Linked DNA regions of Stegostoma tigrinum. The protein of the gene in region 2 interacts with the protein of the main gene of each other region in a biochemical or structural test. Links are inferred from orthologs where the notes say so. Each region holds a gene or a part of one and is shown on either strand. Other genes may lie near its edges.

Evidence for each region.
Region 1: the proteins of lrrk1 (region 2) and cytoskeleton-associated protein 2-like form a complex in vitro, tested with the Homo sapiens proteins (2 studies listed by BioGRID and IntAct, with this or other methods). The link is inferred for Stegostoma tigrinum from reciprocal best matches to the Homo sapiens genes LRRK1 and CKAP2.

What each region holds. Positions count from the first base shown.
Region 1 is NC_081359.1:88,411,881-88,418,809, forward strand, and holds the start of cytoskeleton-associated protein 2-like, read left to right. Parts: upstream 1-3,907; 5' UTR 3,908-3,949; coding exon 3,950-4,076; intron 4,077-4,099; exon of another isoform or gene 4,100-4,189; intron 4,190-4,389; exon of another isoform or gene 4,390-4,459; coding exon of another isoform or gene 4,460-4,517; intron 4,518-4,730; coding exon 4,731-4,821; intron 4,822-6,464; coding exon 6,465-6,531; intron 6,532-6,929. UniProt on the Homo sapiens protein: Possesses microtubule stabilizing properties. Involved in regulating aneuploidy, cell cycling, and cell death in a p53/TP53-dependent manner.
Region 2 is NC_081386.1:1,579,992-1,587,414, forward strand, and holds the start of lrrk1 (leucine-rich repeat serine/threonine-protein kinase 1), read right to left. Parts: upstream 3,008-7,423; 5' UTR 2,908-3,007; intron 1-2,907.

The DNA of each region.
Region 1 (6,929 bases), on a different chromosome or scaffold from region 2:
CTCGTCTCATGCTGTGTGCAATTGTGTCCTTTTTTTCTCAAGTCTGCTTCTTGCATCCCTCTGCTGAGTACAAAATGAAAAGGTTTAACTTCTTACTGGCAACATGGAAAATGAGAACAGGACTAGGCCACCTCTTAATCCAACTCAATATACTGTTATTGCTTATCCCCCTACCTTTTCATCTCTTTAGGTGTAAGAACTAGATCTAACACCTTCTTGAAAACATTCAATCTTTTGACCTCAACTGCTTCCTGTGGCAGTGAATTCCAAAGGATCGCTACTGTCTGGGTGGAGAAATTTTTCATCTTAAATGAAAACCTACCTCATCTCCTTGCACTGTGACTCCTGGTTCTGGATTCCTCAGTCATCAGGAGCATCATTCCTGCATTTGCATTGTCTGGTCCTGTTAAAATATTTATAGGTTTCTATAAGCTACCCCTTGATTATCTAAACTTGCCCCCTTTAGCAATGTTTTAAGTACAATAATATTAAAACATATTAAGCCCTGAAGCCTCATCTTCTACATGAATGTTTACACATCAAATAGTAACTAATTTGATATCATTAATATTGTCTTCAAATCCGTTCTACACAGCTTTGTATACCACTCACTATTTTAGTTATTTAGTTAGATTCTACACAAACAGCAGAAAAAGTACAGCTGTTAGATAGCTGGGTTTGAATTCAAAACAGCATTGTAACTGAGGGTCTCAAGAGGTCATAACGGATACACGTTAGTGGATTCACTTGATCTAAGTTTAAATTGCTGCCACCTAGTGTGCTTTCACAGGATACAGAATTTTAGAACATTTTTCTCATTCATGAGCCTATCTTTCTGTAAAGTTGAGCTCACTCAGAACTCAGTTCATTATATCCTGTCCAAATCACTTCAGAGCCAAGATGTTACCTCTGTAATGATACAGAATCAAAGAATTGTTACAGTGCAGATGACAGCTATTCAGCTCATATTTGCCTCTGTGCTACAAACAATTACGAATCACTGAGTACCATACTCCTGCCCTTTCCCCATAATCCTGCACAAACTTCCTTTTTTGATTACAGTCTAATTCCCTTTTGAATGTTTCAATTGATTTTGCCTCTACCATACAATAAGTGCATTTCAGACCTTATCCATTAGTGCAAAAATATCTTCATGCCCTACAAACCTCCAAAAAAACTCTTCTGAGCTGCAAGTGTCTTTGAAGTACCTCAAGGACTGAACACCATTATAGGTTATCACCCTCTGATACAGGAGCCTGTTCTCACATACAAGAACGTTACGATTGCACTACAGATGGTGTAATGCAAATTCATTAGGATGTTGCCTGAGCTGGAGTGATTCAGCTATGAAGGGAGACTAAGTAACTGCAGGTAGTTTGCACGGAGAAGATTGAGAGATGGGTATGTGTATGAACCCGATTTGAGGTGTATAAAGTTCTGAGGGCGTTGACAGGACAGATCGGGAGAAACATTTCTGCTTAGCAGAAGGGTCAATAACTAGGCTTTTAAAGGTAAAGAGCAGGTGGTTTTGAGATTTGAGGATCTTGTGATTTTCCTAGAAGTTGGTAGGTAGCTGGAACTCTGTCTAAAAGGGGTAGTACAGACTGGAACCAGCAAGATATCGAAGACACACAAGGTTACACTGCAAAGAACTGGAAAATGGGATTAGAACAGATAGATGACTCATGACAATCACAGAGACAATAGGCAGAAAGGTCTTTTTTTCCATGCTGTAAGAACTATATGACATGACTATGCCATTTTATACTGTTTATTGCACCAGTCCATTTCATAGCTATATTGAAACTCGAAGCCTAAACACTTTTGATATTGCAACCCAGCTTTACGTGCCATGCTGAAGATAAACACAGCCTACTGGCAGTGCACCTTCTATGCCACCTCTCAACTTGGTCTGTGCCAGCCAGTTTTGAATGGGTGGATTCCAACAACAGTTGGAGGGAGCAAAAAGAATGGCAATTGCTGGAAAAGCTCAGCAGATCTGGCATCATTTGTGGACTGAAATCAGAATTAATGCTTCTGGTTCAGTGAGCCTTCCTCAAAACTGCTGGTAGGTAGCAAAATGTCCATTTATGTCCAGTAAGGGACAGGAGGGAGTAAAGGATAAGTGGAGAGAGAGCCCAAAGAGAGAGAGAGAGAGAGAGAGAGAGAGAGAGAGAGAAGAGCCCTTAGACAGACAAAGGAGTGATAATGGAACAAAAACAAAGTTGCTGGAAAAGATCAGCAGGACTAGCAGTACCTCTGAAGGAAAAAACTGAGTTAACGTTTCAGATCCCGTGACCCTTCCTCAGAACTGTTTCTGATTTACAGCATCCACAGTTGTTCTGGTTTTTATTTAAAGGAGTGATAATGATCTGGCTTCCAGCTATTAATGGGGATTCTTAGTTGCTAACAATGGGTTGTGTAACGTCAGCCTATGCGATGGCAAGGCCTGGTTGTGGGGGGATTGGCGTAAGTATATGGGAGAGCTCAAGCCCTAAAGTTGTTGAACTCGATAAGAGTCCGGAAGGTAGTAGGAACTGCAGATGCTGGAGAATCTGAGATAACAAGGTGTAGAGTTGGATGAACACAGCAGGCCAAGCAGCATCAGAGGAGCACGAAGGCTGACATTTTGGGTCTAGACCCTTCTTCAGAAATGGGGGAGGGGGAAGAGGATTCTGAAATAAATAGAAAGAAAGGGGAGGTGGATAGAAGATGGAATGACAAGAAGATAGGCAGAGAGGAGACAGACAGGTCAAATAGGCAGGAATGAAGCCAATAGAGGTGAGTGTAGGTGGGGAGGTAAGGAGGGGATAAATCAGTCCAGGGAGGACGGACAGGTCAAGGGGGCGGGATGACGTTAGTAGGAAGGAAATGGGAGTGCGGCTTGAGATGGGAGGAGGGGAAAGGTGGGAGGAAGGACAGGTTAGGGAAGCAGGGACAAGCTGGGCTGGTTTTGGGATGCAGTGGGGGGAGGAGAGATTCTGAAGCTTGTAAAGTCCACATTGATACCATTAGGCTGCAGGGTTCGCAAACAGAATGAGTTGTTGGGTTGCAGGAACAGCATTTCATATTCCACTTGGGAACCCTGCAGCCCAATAGTATCAATGTGGACTTCACAAGCATGAAAATCTCCCCTCCTCCCCCCGCATCCCAAATGCTTGGCCTGCTGTGTTCATCCAGCTCCACACTTTTATGTTGGCTCTTGCAGCATCTGCAGTTCCCATTATCCCAGCTCATCCCCAACTCCTCCTTCCTCCCACTTCAAGTCCTACCCCCATCTCCTACTTACTGACCTCATCCCACCCCCTTGACCTGTCCATCATCCCCAGACTGATCTATCTCCTCCCTACATCCCCAAATACACTCAGCTTTATTGTCTCAATGATGATGGATACTTGACCAGAAGGGGAAAAAAAGAAAATTCAGAAAGCATGCTTTGTAACAACAGTTCTACAGGAATATTAAAAGTGTTCACCAAATGGTTACAGCACATGAGACAGCCATTTAGCCCATTGTGCCAGTGCAATAATTCTGCAGAAGTTAAACTACTTGCACTCTCCTGCCTTTATTCTACAATTTTTCTCTAGATAATAATCCAATTTCTTTTTCTTTCCTTTCAATTTGCCCACACTCCCCCCACTGCATCCTAAAACCAGCCCAGCTTGTCCCCGCCTCCTTACCTACCCCGTTCTTCCTCTCACCCATCCCTTCCTCCCACCTCAAGCCGCACCTCCATTTCCTACCTACTAACCTCATCCCGCCTCCTTGACGGGTCCGTCTTCCCTGGACTGGCCTATCCCTCCCCACCTAAATTCTCCTCTCCACCTATCTACTTTTCTCCATCTTCGGTCCGCCTCCCCCTGTCTCCCTATTTATTCCAGAACCCTGTCCCCATCCCCCTCTCTGATGAAGGGTCTAGGCCCGAAACGTCAGCTTTTGTGCTCCTGAGATGCTGCTTGGCCTGCTGTGTTCATCCAGCTTCACACTTTGTTATCTGCGACTAGAATTGGCAAGTTTGCAATGTACGCGGAGCAGCAAGCCACACGTGGTTAAGCCAGAGGAAAAGGAATCAGAAAGTAACGCTTTACACATTCCATACTTTATAACATCGCATTCCATTTCAGAACACGCACTCATCCCAGACACCCACGCCTGCGCAACTACGGTACATGGTCATAGTCTCCTTGTCCTTGTCACGCCTCTTCTCCCCCCGCCCGCAACTACGCATGCTCACAACGCCATTTCAAAGTTACGTGCCTGACCAGTCTCGGAATGAGCGGATTGGTCAGTTTGTGCGAGGTCATGTGGCTTGTTTTGAGGGGCGAGGGGAAGGCGGTAGCGCAGCCAATCGGTGGCGCGGGAGCGAAATTCAAACGGGGACAGAGCAGCGCGATTGGCTGGAGCGGGGAGAGTTAACGGCAGCGGAAAGCCGCTCCGATTTTACAAACATAGGTGCAACATGCTAGCCGCTCACACTGTTACCGGGGCGAAGCCTCGGCAACCCCTGTCATACGCCGGTACTTTAGTGCTTTTGGGGCGAGTGGTTTCCACCGGGTCACTTACAAATGTTGCTCCGGGGTTAGGAAGGAACGGTCGATCGAGGCGGTTGTTTTATTTCTATGTTAACGTTGCTGGTGCTGTTGCCGCTTCAGTTTGCTGGCCGTTGCTAAAAATGTGGTTGCACTGATGGTGTCATGACTGCTTCTTTTTTGCCTTTACCCCACCCCCAGATCAAAGGCGCCAGAAATTAGAAGAGTATCTGCAGAGAAAGAAGTCTGCTAACAACGTGGCGATTCGAGCTAGGAGCCGTTTGGAAAACAGGTGATGGATGATCTCTGTGTGTATTAAATTGAGTTGCCAGTGAAATCACACTCCCCTCCTGCCCACACCTTTATCTCGGATTCTCCAGCATCTGCAGTTCCATTATCTCTTGACACTTCTAAATCCTGCTTTCAGAGGTTCCCCAGTTTGAGCTCCACCACAATATCTAATTCTGTGCATCGAGAGGCATTCCCTAACCTTCTGTGTCAATGCTTCTACCTGTTTTAAAATTTTGGCAATAACTGCTGGGGTATGGGAGATTTTGAAGCCATCACTTTTTTGCTGCAAGCGCAATAAATAGATTCAAATGCAAAAAGGCTTACTATGTTCCTTGACATTTTAAATCTTGTATTGTTTCCCCGCCCCGGGTGCGACATACCAGCTTTCTATTTTATTTGAGCCGTCATAATGTGCCCTTTATCTTTGCAGATTCTGTATTTCCAGCAGAGTTATACCCTAGGTCGAGGCTGGTTTGTTAAGTCGATTATAAGGTTCAAATAGTTCTAATCAGTAAGGGAATCAAGGGTTATGGGGAAAAGACAGGAAAGAAGAGTTGAGATAACAAGGTGTAGAGCTGGATGAACACAGCAGGCGAAGCAGCAGATGAGCAGGAAAGCTGACGGTTCGTGCCTAGACCCTTCAGAAATGAGTTGAAGAATTGAGGTTTATTAGATCAAGTCATGATTTCATTGAATGTTGAAACAGACTTGATGATCTACTTCTGTGTCTCATGATCACTGCTGTTGGTTGTTCAGTAAGTTGTGTCTCTGGCTTTCTGCAGTAAGATATGCTTGTTTGGTTTTTTATTGTAGTTCTGTAAATTTATTTATCTTCAAATAATTATCCAATTCTCTTTTGAAAATCATGTTTGATCTGCCTTCACTAGGCACTCTAGATTGTATATTTCCAGATGTTGGAATAACCTGTGTGTAAAAACAATCAAATCTGTCTTCATTTAGTTCTTTTGCCACTTACCCTTTCTAATCTTAGTTTAGACCATTTTGCTAAAGGGAACAACTACATTTTACTCTGTCCATACCTCTTGTGATTTCAAACACCTAGAAACTCCTAAAACACCTAAAGAGAATGGCCCCGGCTTCTGCAATTTGCCTGTGTAGGCAAAGTCCTTATACCTCCGCAGCAGCTAAAGCCATCTCCGCTTTCCAAATGTACTTTGGATATCTATTCCAATGTCCTTGCAATCAAGACCGCTTGCCTTCCTAATTGCTTGTTGTACTTGTGCCTTACTTTAGTGCTCCTCGGACAAGAAATTTATTTACATCTATGCTGGTAGCATTCTGAGTAACATTTGTTTATTTTCTGATTTAGTTCTATTCCAGTAACTTCGTATATAACCTGATGAGGTTATCTGGTTCACCACGATTTAATGAGCATCAGTTTATAATTTGCAATCTTATCTTTTCACTCCCTTCATTTGAAATTGTACAATGCTGTCTTGTCATTGTGATGTCATGACAGTGAAAATGTCTTTTCAAAAATGTTTCCCCTTATAGATGTTGAACTATTTTTAATGCTAATGGTAAGTGTATTTGTTTTCTTTAAGTTATTTGATTTGAAGGAGGCAAGCAATTTCTGACTACAATATTTTCCTGATTTATACTGATCATCATTTTCTTTTGAAGGGTGTATTTGAGAGACAAGACAAACATCGAGAAACTTCAGGCTTCTACAAGGCAGAAAGAGGCAATGGTAGGTACTGGAAGAAAAATATAGATTTCCTCCTTTTTCATGTGTTCTATCTTTGGATAGAAATTGCTCTGTTGGCTTTACATTTGAAAGCTTTACAGTTGTAGTTTTACAGGACAGTCTGTCCCAGGTTGTAAACAGGTTCCGTAGTTGAGTCCGTTCACAAGTTAATTTGTACGCAAGTTGGGACACAATGCAGAACAATATAGAAAGTACAGAAAGTGTTTACGTATTGGATTTTCAAAATTATTACATTGTCTGGGATCATGCTCATAAGTACGAGTGTTCATTAATTGGACATTTGAATTCAGGCCCCTATGTACTTTCCGTTGATAAATGTAAAGAAGTAAACACTTTTTTTTTCATTTGAATTACTCAGTAGAATCTTCACAAGTATTGAA
Region 2 (7,423 bases):
TCCTGGTCCTAAGATGCTGCTTGGCCTGCTGCGTTCATCCAGCTCCGCACCTTGTTAGCTCAATTTCTATACTCAATGCAAGCATGCTAAAAGCCTTCTTCACAATCTTGTGTCCCTGCAACTCCAACTGCAAGGAACTATGTACCTGCACTCCAAAGTACCTTGATTGTTCCCACTAAATGCTCAAGGCACCTTCTCCTCCTTTGAGGTCCTCACACTTCCACCATACCCCTTCCAAAATGTTCACACTCTCCCATTCACTCAAAGGTTCTCTCAAAGACATTCCTTCAATCTTTTTTTCCCCCTTGTTCCCTATACTAAGACACAATTCAGACTGTATGGATTTCGACCTCAATCCACAATATTGCCGTTTCTCTTTGATCTCACTGCCATCCTCTGTCTCTAACTTTCACAGAGTCATGGCCATTCCCTTGTCCTTTCCAGCTTCCCAGCTTCTCCAGTTTCGTTGTCTCGACCACAGAACATTAGTGAGAATTTCTGTTCACTTTCTCGTGCAACCCATGCTCCACTTCCACTTTCTCAAGCAACATCCTTCTGCATTCACCGTGGAAGCAACTTTTTCAAACCCTTAAGCGGCCTATTCACCAGGATATTTCCACTACTGTCCAAGTGCTTAGTTACTTCGCTATCTCCCTATTTAGCAGCAATTCCAGTTGTAAAAAAAATTCTTTATTAGTATTTTCTAATATTGTCCCATCTTTATTCACACAATCAGAAAGGACACAGACTTGAATAGGTCCAACACAGAACTAGTTTAGCAATTCATCATCAGATCTAGCTGGGCCACATCAATCCCTGTGTGGCCATTCACTTATTAACCAGTACCATTATGGAGAACAAAATTAACCCTACTCCTTTTCTGCATTACTATCTCCTCAACTCCATTCTGAGCTCCTTAAATTCCCTCCAGTAAGTCCAAGAGTTCAGCAACTTCTCTGTCACTAAGATTAAGACTATTATTTAGCTGCTTCTAGCCACTCTACTTTTCCCCATTCTTATCTTGATGAAGATTTATGAGGCTATAATTAATCTGACATGTCCCATTTGTGCTAGAGATAAGGTTCACAGCTCCAGAAGTGTGGGCAGTTTAGAGCCACAATCCTCTCAAGTAATAAAAACAGTTGCTAGTTAAAGATAACAAGGTGTAGAGCTGGATGAACACAACAGGCCAGGCAACATCAGAGGAGCAAGAAAGCTGACATTTTGGGTCTGAACCCTTCTTCAGAAATGGGGGAGGGATAGGGGACAATGAAAAAAGAACGAGAGGTGGGGAGGCGATGATGGAAGTTGGATAAAGGAGCAGATAGGTGGAGAGAAGACAGACAGGTCGAGGCAGCAGGGACTGAGCCAGTAAAGTTGAGTGTACGTAGGGATTTGGGATGGGGATTGCTCAGTTGAGGGAGCACAAACAGGTCAAGGAGGCAGGGATGAGGGTTGATCAGTGAGATGGAAGGAGCAAATAGGTGGGAGAAAAGACAGACAAGTCAATGAGGCAGACATGAGCTGAGCTGGTTTTGGAATGAGGTCAGGGGAAGGGAGATGTTGAAGCTCGCGAAGTCCACATTGACTCCATTGAGCCGCAGGGTTCCCAGACTAAATATGAGGTGCAATTCCTGCAGCCTTCGGGGGCATCGTTGTGGTACTGGAGGCGGCCCAGATGGACATGTCGTCCAAGGAATGGGAAGGGGAGTTGAAGCGGTTAGCGACTGGGAGGTGCAGTCATTTGTCATGAACCAAGCCTAGATGTTCCACAAAGCTTTGTCGAACACCTACGCTTAGTTCATGTTGCTGATCCATAGAATTTCTACAGTGGCCTAACAAGTCCACAATGACCCTCAGAGAATCCCACCCAGACTCATTCCCCAAACCCACCTAATCTACACATCCTTGAACACTATGGGCAATTTAGCACGGCCAATCCACTTAGCCTGCACATCTTTGGACTGAGGGAGTAAACTCGAGTACCCAGCTGAGATGTGTGGATATATGGATGTTGGTGAAAACAGACTTGATCACTATCTGTGGTCAGATTCAACTTGTCCTATACTTCCAATATGTACTGTTGTATTTAAGTCAGACTTAGTTCTTGATCTGTAAAGGGGACCAAAGATTACAGGGAGAAGGCTGAAGAATGGATTTGAGAAACATGATCAACTGGTGGAGCTGATTTATGGGGCCAGGTGGCCTAATTTTGCCCCTACATCTTATAGCCAAACACCGGATTGACCTGTGATCTAACCCCCAAATCACTATGAAGAAATTATAAATAACAAGAGTATTAACCAACCCCATAAGCTATTACTGCTAATCATTTCAAGCAAGAACTGGAGAATAGTCTGAATTTAGACCACCAGGTCTGGCCTACATGTGACTCCAGATCCAGGGTCCTGACCTGAAACGTCAACTTCCCTACTGCTCCGATGCTGCCTGGTCTGCCGGGTTCCTCCACCACCACACCGCAGTGTGATTCCGGCATCTGCAGTTCTTGCTATCTCCCTAGTATTGACTCTTAACTGCCCTCTAGGCAATTAGGCATAGGTAATAAATACTGGTATAGCCAGTGACGCCCACGCTCCGTGAATGAATTATATAAAACATAAACAACTGGCGTGAAAATTAAAATGAATTTTCTGGTAACGTATTGATCTCCTGGTTATCCTAAAATTTGAAATTAGCACCTATTTGTCGGGTACTACACAATGTTTTGAAACGTTGTGCATTGAGCAATCTTTCCCAAAACTTTAACCGCAGGTTTACAGCCTGTGAGTCAACGTGAAACAACCTGCTCCTCAGGCAAACTGCTAACAACGGGGGTCTTTACAAAGCAGAGCTTAGTCCGAATCAAGCACTGTCAGAAACCCAACATTAAGCTGCGGCTCCCCTTACCTGCGGAGCCGGAGACACGGCCAGACCGGGAACCTACCGACGGTCCACTTTCTTTTGAGTCACAGATCGCAATGAGGAAGTGAGAAAGAGGATGTGGGTGGAGACACGAGTTCAGGACAGTGCCCAGGGAGGAGTCAGCGTCAGGTTCAGTCCCACCTCCCTCTGCCTTCGCCTATCTCCCTCCCTCAGCGTCCCCACACCCCTCCTCCGACTCTCCCCTCTTCCAGTCTCCACCTTCCACCAATTTACCCCCTCACTCATTAGCTTCTCTCCTCTCTTCCTCTCCATCTTCAACCTTTCTCAGTTTCATTGCCTGCAGAGACTCAAATCCGTCTCTTACAGACTCACCTCCTGATTCTACCATCCGTTGACATTGTCCACCATCGACATCTCACCTCTGTCATCACCTTTCCTGTAATGGAATGACTGTCAAATTCCTCAAAGAGCTGCCCCTGGTGCTGTAATTCTCACTAGCAGCATTTGACATTGGAACGAGCAGATCTACACAGTGCCCATAGACAGTGCCAGGTCTATCACCTCAAACCAGCTGAAAAAGGAATCCCAAGGAAAGTGCTTTGGGAAAATGGGATTCCCAGCTCCCTCAGGTGAGCTCAATGGGACTGTTAATGACCTTAATCTCTTGAACCATCAAAAAGCAACATTACCTTTCCCTAGCATCCCAAACAATTCCTTTGGACAAGCACATCTTTTTGAAAAACAATTTGTCAGGAGATGACTTCCACTTGGCTTTAAAGATTCACTTTTTCTTCAGCATTTGTTTCCAGCCAACAAGGTCAAACTAGAACCTTTTCTCAGTCAATTTCATATCCTTCTCCTCAGGCAGTCCTTCAGAATCGAGAATGACAGCTCTTCCCTCTGCCACAACATGGATTCTGTCCATCAAGACACACTCTGGACATGATCTTCTGTTCTGGTGTTGTGGGTCCTGAAGTAAGTAAAAAGTCCAGTGCTGGATCCACAAAGCCTTTTGTAGTTGGGACAGTGCTGTTTGCTGAAGCTGGTGAATGGATGGCTGAGACACTTAAATCTTTGCACGTTCCTTCCACTGTTTGCCCTTGGCCCCTGTCAGGGTCTGCCTCCTTTGATCTGAAGTGAATTGAAGCAAATCATTTATTGTCACATGTATTCAGTATAAAATACAGTGAAAAGTGTGTACCTTTGCCATGCATAGACACCATTCACATTCATTTGAAATAAAAAGTGAAGAAAGATAACTTAAAGAGAGCCCAACTTTTCCTTCTCTGCTTCACCAGTCCATAGCATGCCGCTTTCAAAATCCCACTCTGGGCTTCCCTGCCATGCCTTACCGCCACCCAAGTCATGCTCCAGGTTTCCCAGCACATGCCATGCCGCTGCCAAAGTCTCACTCCGTACTACACCAGCCTGTGCCGTGCTGCCACCCCCCCACCCCCCCAGGGGCCCACTGCAGGCTTCATAGGCTGGCCGACTCTGTAGACACCTTGATAGTCTTCTGTGATATTAGTTCCTGGTTCCCACACTCTCTTCATCCACTTTTTTTCTTTGTCTTATTCCTTTCTTCCTCTTCTTCTCTCAGTTTTTAGTTTTAGCTCAAACTTACCTGAAGTTTGCCTCTGAAGATGCTGCCTCCGCTCTGGAGCTTATTGAAAATGCCTTCCTACTGAAGAGCTCTCTTTATCAGGTAAGTTTGAGCTAAAACTAAAAACTGAGAAAAGAAGAGGAAGAAAGGAATAAGACAAAGAAAAAAAAGTGGATGAAGAGAGTGTGGGAACCAGGAACTGATATCACAGAAGACTATCAAGGTGCACAAATTCTGGGAAAGAGTAAATTATCAGGTGAGTTGAGAATAAAGAAGAAAGTAATATAGTTTAAGTCAAGGTCAGTAAGCATGTATGGGAACGCATAGAGTGTAGTAAATAGGTTGATAGGCACAGATTGTCATGTGGAAGTTTGGTATTATGGACATATGCAGAGACCTGTCTTAAGGAACATCCAGACTGGGTGTTTAATATTCCTGAATACAAGCTGATCATGAAAGAGAGGAAACTGTGAAAAGGGAAGGTCTGTTGGTATTAATCAAGAAGAGCATTTCAGTGCTGGAAAATGAGAATGTCCCAAAGGGGTCAAGGACAGAATCAATTTGGTTAGAGTTAAGGAACAAAAAAACTGTGCGATTACTTTGCTTTGGTAGTTCTTCTGACTACCAACTAACGGGAAAGTTGCAGCAAAACAAATTCCCAAAGAAATTTTAGAGAGTAGAGGGCTTTAATTGTACAAATATAGACTGGCTAGTAGCAGTGTAGAGGGCAAAGAGGGGAAAGAGAATTCCACTCGTGTTCAGGAGAATTTTCTCCAGTAGAATGTAGACCTGAGTCTGAAGTTTCACTATTAGGTCAAGAGCTTAGAATCAGGACAATTTCCAGGAGGCAGCCGGGATTTTCATTTTGGGGCTTGCAGGTGTTATGCAAGATGGGCTGCATGACAAACACAGAGGCCGGTAAGTGTGGAGTTGGCAGGATCCTCTGAGTTTAGCAATTTGTTGAAGTTTAAAAATATCATAAAACAGCCCTCATGCCCCTCGTAGACCCGTCCCCATCCATGCCAAACCGTGTTCCTAAATTCATCACTGAACCTAACCCCAGAGCTCCACTTACTCTCCATTCCTACCTGTGCCCATAAATGCACTCATGATACTTGAAAGCCTCAATGCTGCTGTACTCAGTCCACACACTTTGTAGCCCCTATGCCAATATAGTGCCAACTCATTGCAACTGATGTGGCGTTAGTTTGTCTAATGCCTAGTTTGTCAGCACGGTATTTTAACTGAAACATAGTATTGAAGAATCTAGCAGATGTTTATTATAACTATTAGGTATAAATATTACATTTCTCAGGCATATATGTGTCAGTGCTAATATTAAGCTATTAGGTTACATCAGAGGAGCATGCTTCTAGTGGAGCGTCATGCTTCAAGTGATCCAAGGTAGATGGAGGATGAGACATTTGTACTCTTGTCATATGCAATGAAACAGTGATGATATCATTAGCAAATCTCTTAAAAACACGCTCCGGCTGCCATGGTGTAATGGTGAGCACGTGGGTTTCTGAACACTGCGATCCGAGTTCAAGTCTGGAGGCAGCCTATATTTCCTGGTCCGGTTAGTGCTCAGCCTCAGGAAGTCATGTTTTAGGGCGGCACGGTGGCTCAGTGGTTAGCACTGCAGCCTCACAGCACCAGGGACGCGGGTTTGATTCCCACCTCGCATGACTGTCTGTGTGGAGTTTGCACATTCTCCCTGTGTCTGCGTGGGTTTCCTCCGGGTGCCCCAGTTTCCTTCCACAGTTCACTGATGTGCAGGCTAGGTGGCTCAGCCATGCTAAATTGTCCGTAGTGTTCAGGGGTGTGTGGGTTATAGGGAGATGGGCCTCGGTGGGATGCTTCAAGTGGCAGTGTGGACTTGTTGGGCCGAAAGGCCTGTTTCCACACTGTAGGGAATTAATCTAAAAAAAATGCTGACATGCTGATTCTGGTATGTAACACAACACCGCCCTTTTCCTAAGACAAAGCAAAATCAAATAGATGAACATGGTTTTACATGAGCATGTGATGACTGCTGCCTGGTAAATTTTGATATATGTTTCAAAACCAACTCCATGATTTCTATGATAATAAAATGTGAGGCTGGATGAACACAGCAGGCCAAGCAGCATCTCAGGAGCACAAAAGCTGACGCTTCGGGCCTAGACCCTTCATCAGAGAGGCTGCGATAGGGTTAGGGTTTCTATGGATTTCTATGGATGAGTCTGCTGAATGTTGAGCTTGCTTTTGCCTGGCGACAGTTGTTTTCATCAATTAATGGGACGGCATGGTGTCGCAGTGTTTAGAACTGCAACCTCACAGTGCAAAGGAACCAGGTTTGATTCCATCCGTCATGTTCAGGGATGTGTAGATTAGGTGGGTTATGTGGGGTGGATCTGGGTGAGATGCTGTGGGGCTCGGTGTGGACTTATTGGGCCGAAGGGCCCGTTTCCACACTGTAGGGAATCTATGATCTATGATCTATGTGTTGTTAATTGAATAATCATATAGACAATGTAAAACAGAGTTTGCAAGACTAACATTTCAGAAAGCAATGTAATGCTTTTGAGGTTTGATAACTAGTCCTGATCTGGTGATCGTGTCTGCAACTGGAGACATACTTGTTGTTTTCTGTTAGACATTTTTGAAAACTTGGTTGTCTTGCTGTTCATTGCTATCATTCTACATATTATCATCAGAGTGTTCTTCCTCGTTCTCTTCAACTATGGTCAGTGATTTGTACATTGGCCTGAGCTGACTTCTGTTCCTTCACAATATAGCACCATGATCAGTAAATGACTTTATATGATCTGACCTGTTTGTACATATTAGAAAGTTTTGCCTATATCCAAGTATTTGGATTTGTATTTCTAATTCACTTTCTCTTCCAGTGCACGGTCTTGTTAATTCTCTACTTGCTCGGTCGTTGTGTAGCAC